2 linked regions of the Xenopus tropicalis genome follow. The protein of the gene in region 1 interacts with the protein of each later gene in a biochemical or structural test. Links are inferred from orthologs where the notes say so. Each region holds a gene or a part of one and is shown in the gene's direction. Other genes may lie near its edges.

Evidence for each region.
Region 2: the proteins of ptprb (region 1) and cntn1 form a complex in vitro, tested with the Homo sapiens proteins (2 studies listed by BioGRID). The link is inferred for Xenopus tropicalis from reciprocal best matches to the Homo sapiens genes PTPRB and CNTN1.

What each region holds. Positions count from the first base shown.
Region 1 is NC_030679.2:59,463,978-59,467,812, reverse strand, and holds part of ptprb (receptor-type tyrosine-protein phosphatase beta), read left to right. Parts: intron 1-886; coding exon 887-1,009; intron 1,010-2,029; coding exon 2,030-2,193; intron 2,194-2,456; coding exon 2,457-2,592; intron 2,593-3,835. UniProt on the Homo sapiens protein: Plays an important role in blood vessel remodeling and angiogenesis. Not necessary for the initial formation of blood vessels, but is essential for their maintenance and remodeling. Can induce dephosphorylation of TEK/TIE2, CDH5/VE-cadherin and KDR/VEGFR-2.
Region 2 is NC_030679.2:65,256,778-65,260,612, reverse strand, and holds part of cntn1 (contactin-1), read left to right. Parts: intron 1-1,036; coding exon 1,037-1,136; intron 1,137-2,382; coding exon 2,383-2,564; intron 2,565-3,269; coding exon 3,270-3,394; intron 3,395-3,835. UniProt on the Homo sapiens protein: Contactins mediate cell surface interactions during nervous system development.

The sequences.
Region 1 (3,835 bases):
TATAAAAAGTTGTAGGAGGGAGGAGGAGTAAATTACTTTGCATAGAAAACTGCTGCAATTTTTTTTACTTAAAAAAAACACCTAATCGGAAGCAAATCAAGCCAGGGGAGTAAGAATTCAGGGAATTGATGGTTTGATGGAAGTAAATTGAAGTTGTGTAAGAGGATAGAGCAGGATAGCATTACTGCACTGGATAAAGTTTTGCTGCATTGGGAAAAGTGACATATATACTAAGTCGGTATGATAAAGGGCAGAACTCAAAAAAAAGAATAGAAACCTGGATTGTACATTTCATTGTACTACACCTTGTTGCCAGGATTTTTTATGACTTAGCAGGAAAAATGTTTCAACTGTCTAAAGACCCTGGTTGACATTCCAATTAGAAATTTGGCATCTTGAATTGTTGGATCCTTTTCAAGGTGAGCTGTAGGTTGATCTTGGTGAAGTTTTTGTCCACTGCAATTTTTCTCTAAAAATTATATATATCATTATATATATATAAGGGTATCTGTGATGATTATGTCAACATTATTTAACATCAGGTTTATACAGGTTTTTTTCCCTGGTGAGCAGGAAGAAGGTTTGAAAGCAACAATTATGTTTTTATCTGATTACAGTGTATTTTGGATGCAGTGAAATGGGGGTGCAGTTAAAATACATAGGCATTGTTTTCCAGTTGATATATTTAACAAGGGGGTTGCATTTTTATTTACTGCCAAAACCATATTTCTTTTCTTTGTAAATAATAATAATAAAAAAAACTAAAGAGCTTTGTGTTTTATAAGCAGTTCTGAAATGATTCAATAACAAGAATTCATAATGAATTGAAACATTATCTTGTCTAACACCATTATCCATTCTGTATTTTTGCTGTGTCCCTTCACAGGCAAAATGCGATCATTATTGGCCCATGGACCAAGACTCATACTATTACGGAGACCTGATAGTACAAATGCTGTCAGAATCTGTGCTTCCTGAATGGACAATAAGGGAATTTAAAATCTGCAGTGTAAGAAATTCTTCTTATAAAGTTTAAACCATGTGGAATTTTCCTTTGCTACCAAGTGCCATTTATCAGTCTCTTAAAATCAATGCAAAAGTATATACAGTACGTTTTTAGCTTCTCTGTGTTGTAGCAATTCATCATCCTGTTGTGTGCCTCTTTCAATACCTCGGAAAATTAAATGTCAGAATACATATTTTAGGGCTTAAAGGGGCAGAGTAATCACTAAAAGACAGAGTTGTGGCTATATTGTGGCATTTCATGGCACTCCAGAATTTTTAGGAGCACACTTCCCAGCTCCCTCACTCCAGCTTTCTTATATAGAAGTCGTAGCCTACAGCAGTGAAACAAACATAACCTTTTCTTGCTATATACACAGAATCTTGGCAATGCAATAATAAATTATGCTGGGAACTGGTAAGACAACATTAACAACTGTAACAACACATCAAAAATTGGTTTATTGTCACTTTCCTGTCACTTTCCTTTTGAACAGCTAGAAACTAGGTAGGAATTAGCTGAGCAAAGTTTTAATTTGACAGCTCTGTCTCTTTTTTTATATTGTCTTTTGTTGCCCATTCAGACTTTAGTTACTTAAATATCATATGTCGTTTTTTTTACTTTTTACATCCCACTGTGTAAATTACAGTGATTTATAAATAAATACACTTCTTGGCTCATGGTAATTATTAAATTGTCACATTTTATAAGCTTTAATGGAGGATGGATTGGCTTGCTATTAAGCACCCTTTATTGAAGACATACTGTCTTAAGAGGTGATGGTTCTAGTTCTTCTTTGGGGTCTAATTAAAGGGAATATAGTCCATAATGTATTAGTATGGTATGTTTTCAATTTTTTTTTGTTGTAGCAATTTTATAGAATGTAAAAAAACTAATAATACTGTATGTTCAAATTATGTTCATTGTTTGATTTTAATGTATTTTGTTTATAAAGTGTTGCAGTCCTATGTTGCTGGCTAGATGTCACATTATAGAAACAGAACACTGTTTTTTTTTCATTTACAGGAAGATCAAATTGATGCACCACGACTAGTCCGTCATTTCCACTATACAGTGTGGCCAGATCATGGGGTGCCAGAAACCACCCAATCACTGATCCAGTTTGTAAGAACAGTCAGAGACTATATTAACAGAACTCCTGGAAGTGGCCCTACTGTGGTGCACTGCAGGTACAGCAGAACTAGTTTCTTATCCTTAATTTTTACATTTACATTATTGCATATTAAACATAATTGATTAATGCAAAAATTGCTGCAGTTTTACTATCGTAAATGTGGTCCAGGAGATGTCAGTTTAACAACAGTTGGGCATACTGTTTTTAATAAAGTTATTTACCTTAGTTTCCATCATATTGTAGTTCATGCATGGGTGCAGCCTTAAAAACACATTTTATATTTGCAGTACATGGGATGACAATGTGTATTTGTTACAGTGCTGGTGTTGGCAGAACTGGCACATTCATTGTACTGGACCGAATGCTTCAACAAGTTGATACAGTGGATTCAGTGGATATATTTGGAGCTGTTAGGGACCTCCGAATTCACCGGATGTACATGGTGCAGACCGAGGTAAGAAGTAGGATTCAGATCCAATTCATCTACATCACTGAGTCCCATTGACAAACTACTTGTATATTAAATGCATAGCAGCATGTAGTAAATATAGATACAGAATGATCCTGTAAAGGAGGCAGAAAACATTTGTAACATAAGTGCGTTAATTATACATGCATAAACTGTATAGACTTTCTCACCTTGACTGCCAGGTTTAACAAAATGGATGAACAAAGCTGCCAATAATCAGTACTATATATGGATTTACTACAAGGGTTTATTTTCAAAATCTAACTATGGCCAAACCTGGATAGGTTTTAGTGTCATGCTGAAAGTTTTCCCCTAAATCTCACAATGAGCGGGTACAATAAAATATTTTGTTAATCATTTAGGGGCTGATTTACTAAGACACGAATTCGAAATCGAATCGTATTTTTTGCGATTTTTTCGGCGCCTTTACGACTTTTCGGAAAATTATCGATACTTTTTCGTTACCAATACGACTTGCGCGAAAAAACGCGAGTTTTTCATAGCCATTACGACTTGCGCGGAAAAACGCGAGTTTTTCGTAGCCATTCCGAAAGTTGCGCAAAATCTGCCGATTTTTTCGTAGCGTTAAAACTTGCGCGAAAAGTCGCGCCTTTTTCGTAGCGTTAAAACTTAAAAGGCGCGACGTTTCGCGCAAGTTTTAACTCTACGAAAAAATAGTGACTTTTCGCGCAAGTTTTAACGCTACGAAAAAATCGCCAGATTTTGCGCAACTTTCGGAATGGCTACGAAAAACTCGCGTTTTTTCGCACAAATCGTATTGGTAACGAAAAAGTCGCGATAATTTCCGAAAAAATCGCAAAATACCGATCATTACGAAAAAAACGCAATCGGACGCATTCGGCCCGTTCGTGGGTTAGTAAATGTGCCCCTTAGTGTGTCCATGTACACTGTAAAATCTTTTCACTTTATTCTTGCTGTGAGGGCCTGGCAAGTACTTTCCTATTCGGTCAAGAATATAAATGATTATTTTCATATTGTTGCTGTGCACAGCCCTTGCATTATCTTGTTTTACTGTTTCTGTGATTAATCATATTAACTTACACTAAATAGCCATTGCTAATATGCTGCTGTCATGAATACTAAATATTTCATTTTGTTTAGATGAGGTAAGGCTAGATGACACAAACATTTTTATTTATCAAATACCAAGAACTGAAGGTCCATAGTGAAAGGTTCATTTACCTACACTGCAGAGTTTGCATAATGA
Region 2 (3,835 bases), about 5.8 Mb from region 1:
GCTGAAGGTCAAGATCCTCCTGTCTATTAGAGCAGTAGAATATTGGCAGTTCAAATATCTGCTGGTACAGTAAGAGTAATAGTCCTTATGTTACCACACAAACAGTAAAAAAAAATACAACAGCAGAATTTTATGACAGGGTAGCAGGAACTGCATTTAAACTATACCTAAATAGAGGTATCCAAACAACACACGGTATCAAGTGCTGTTACATACTTTACTGTAACTGCACATTTCATTACCTTCCACACCAAGGTAATGACATAAAAAATTTATATTTTTCTCTTACAGGCTATAGTCATATACATATATAAAAGATCTGACTAAAATATATAATTGACAGAAATTGCACTGTACAATGATTTAACATAGCACAAATATTGGAATAGCTAATAATTACATGCTAAAAAATGTTTTTTTTAGCAGTACAGTCACATATGTGAAAATGTTTTTATTCTAATATAATAATTCTTTAGTAAATTAAAAATCTAATAATAATTCCTTAGTACAGGTATGGGATCCCTTATCCGGAAACCCATTATCCAGAAAGCTCCGAATTACGGAAAGCCCGTCTCCCATAGACTCCATTTTAATCAAATAATAGAGAATTTTAAAACTGATTTCCTTTTTCTCTGTAGTAATAAAACAGTACCTTGTAATTTATCCCAACTAAGATATAAATAATCCTTATTGGATACAAAACAATCCTATTGGGTTTAATTAATGTTTTATTGATTTTTTAGTAGACTTAAGGTATGGTGATCCAAATTACAGAAATACCCCTTTTCTGGAATACCCTTGGTCCCGAGCATTTTGGATAATGGGTCCTATACCTGTATATTCAATTTTGTCATCCAGTGAAAACTAAAATGTTTGCATATATACTCCTGCCATAATACCTAAATGTAATTTTAGACTCCTATTTCCTTAATTTTTTTCTCAGTGCACATTAAAAACTCATGATTGTTTCATAAACAGAACAAAATTGCAGTGTTTCATCCTTAATATTTACTAATGGGATATTTTGTTTTATTAGAGAAACCTAAACGTTATACACCTGTTATTAATGTCAAATTTAAAGACACTCGTGCCTTGAAAGATCAAAACGTCACACTGGAGTGTTTTGCTTTGGGAAAGTAAGTAATACTCAGTAATAATGATTATTGTCTATGGGGGGGCATTGTTTTCATAAAAAAAAAAAAATTTTTTTGCCATTTATTATGCGTCAAAACTGCAACAAATCTAAAAACTATTGAGATTATGTAGATGCCCTTTTTTACAACTGGAAGATCTTTCTTTGCTTCATGGTTTTAAGGGTTTCAGGGGTTTTCTCACACTTATTTGTGTTTTTAAAAGACTTTTAATAAATCACCTGGCATTCATGGTTTTAGAGAAAATGAAAAAAAAAATTACAAATGGCCCTTCCCATCTTTAAAAATGGACTATGCAAGCATAGTCCATACATTAGGCAGTAACCAAGATTATAGCCAAATACAAAGATTCAACCCATCCTTATTTTCTAATAGCAAGGAATTAAATCCAAGAAAACTGCCCTATGATAGGCTGCAGATAAGACCAGCAGAGGTTTCGCCCTTTATGATCTCAGTTGAGTTGCTCAGTGAAGACTGGGGGCTGGCTATCAAGTGACATTTTAAGACATTACGGCAGATGTGCACAGGTCTCTTTGTGACTGGTTGCTCAATAAACTACTATTTAATGTTTTGATAGGGCTGCTGGTAAAGGCATAGCAGCCCTCAGTGTCTGGGACTCTGGGGCATCATAGAGTATCAATAGCCTTTCATAGGTATATAATAGTGAGTTGTATTGCTGACACTTCTATAGCTTGTGCTGCAAGGTGAAGGGGTGGGAGAATGGCATTATCTATCTTATACTGATTCCTGGAAGTAGAAAGTATGGCATTGACAGATAAACTTCAGTAGGAATGTACTGAATCCTTAAAATAAATTAAAATGGTTGTTAGTGAGATATTGATGTTATTATTTTTCAGCTTGCAACCTCTATTGTATTTAACCTCTATTGTATTTGTTATTTTAAGACTTGTATTCATAGGAAAATCTGTGATGATTTTGTTTTATCAAGTATCTTGTTTTTTTTAGTTTGTTATTTAAATTGCTTAATAGTAGCTGTGTAGTGTCAGTTGTGTATTCAGAATAAGAACAATACCTTAAATGTTGTAATACTTGAGTTGCTGGCCTTAAGATCATTAATATGAAGATCAGTTATGGAAATATGTTAATTTTAAGCAACTTGCTTGTATTTGTTGTAACTGATTATTTAGTAGTTTTTTTTCTCAAGGTCACACTGTCTTATGTTTCCCTCAGTCTCACAAATATGTATTTATATTGTCACCTTTACTTCTAGTCCTATTCCTGTAATCACATGGAGAAAAACAAATGAGGCAATGCCAGCTTCAGCTGAGATAAGCATGTCTGGGGCTGTCTTAAAGATTTTCAATATCCAGCCCGAAGATGAAGGAACGTATGAGTGTGAAGCTAAAAACATTAAAGGGATGGACACACACAAAGCATATGTATATGTAGAAGGTATGCCATGTGTAAAAACGAATTGGGTTCAGCTTTACATAACCATAGCATTCCTCTATGTCTTGGAATTGATAGTAATACTGGCATTTTATTTCAGCCTCATGATGGCTTAATACATTGCATGCATTTTGAACTTTACAAAATGATATATTTCTGCAAAGTTGCCCAATAAATAGTGGTTGATGTAGTTTGTACTTTTTCCCCTAGACATTGCTGGTAAAATTGCTGTTTAAAAATTCATATGCTGAATGTTGTAGGTTCCCAAGTTTTGAAGACAGATAGCTCTCCTTCTACAGGGAAATTATTAAATTAATTTATTAATAATGTTAAGAGGCTTGTTTCCAGGAAGGAGTAAAATTACTCTTTTTTTTTCAAACTAAGAGTCACTGATCCGCCTATAAGCCAAGATAAATGAGTATGTAATTAAACTTTTATACTGCATAGAATTCAATTACCCACACTCATTTGGGATCTATTTATATTAATAATATACTTTAGATTTATATGAGTAATGAAATCAGAAAAATCAGTAAAATCAGATATAAAATGGATGTTAACAGTGTAGAGCTTAATTTCATCCTTGGTTCAAGTTACCAAAAAGTTCATTGAATTTACAGACAAAAGACTTTATTTCCAGTTTTTAAATGTTGTATGTTCTTAATAGATTGGAATAATGTTCAAAATATATATTGCCTCGGTTTCTAGGTGTGCCAGAATGGGTAGAACACATCAATGATACAGAAAGAGATATAGGCAGTGATTTGCACTGGGCCTGTGTTGCTAAAGGCAAGCCACAGCCTAGCATCAGATGGCTGAAAAACGGAGCATCGGTAAGCACAATATGAAATCTCCATATACTTTTCCTGGGCAAAAAATATTTTATTTAGAGCCCATATATATTTTATATTGGAAAGTTGCTTAGAATTATATTTTTTTAATTAGACAAAATTATATTGTAATGTAATATGAAATATTATTTTAATATTTAATATAAGTACTGATTATTTTTGTTTAAAGCCTTACATTCCAAACCTACTTAATTATCCAATCAAAATGAAAATAATTACACAAGAAAGTTCCTACCTGCAAGATTCTGCCTTTATTATTGGCCAACAAAGTTTTTTGTGACCATAACACAAAGCTCTGTATATGCTGAAGAAAGAGTAGGGTGTTCCTGACAATAAACTAATAATAAACCAATTATGGGTTAGAATAGAGTGCTAAAAACCTACCAGGTTGTACCTAATGATCTGGTTAGTTTAGTAAACTTT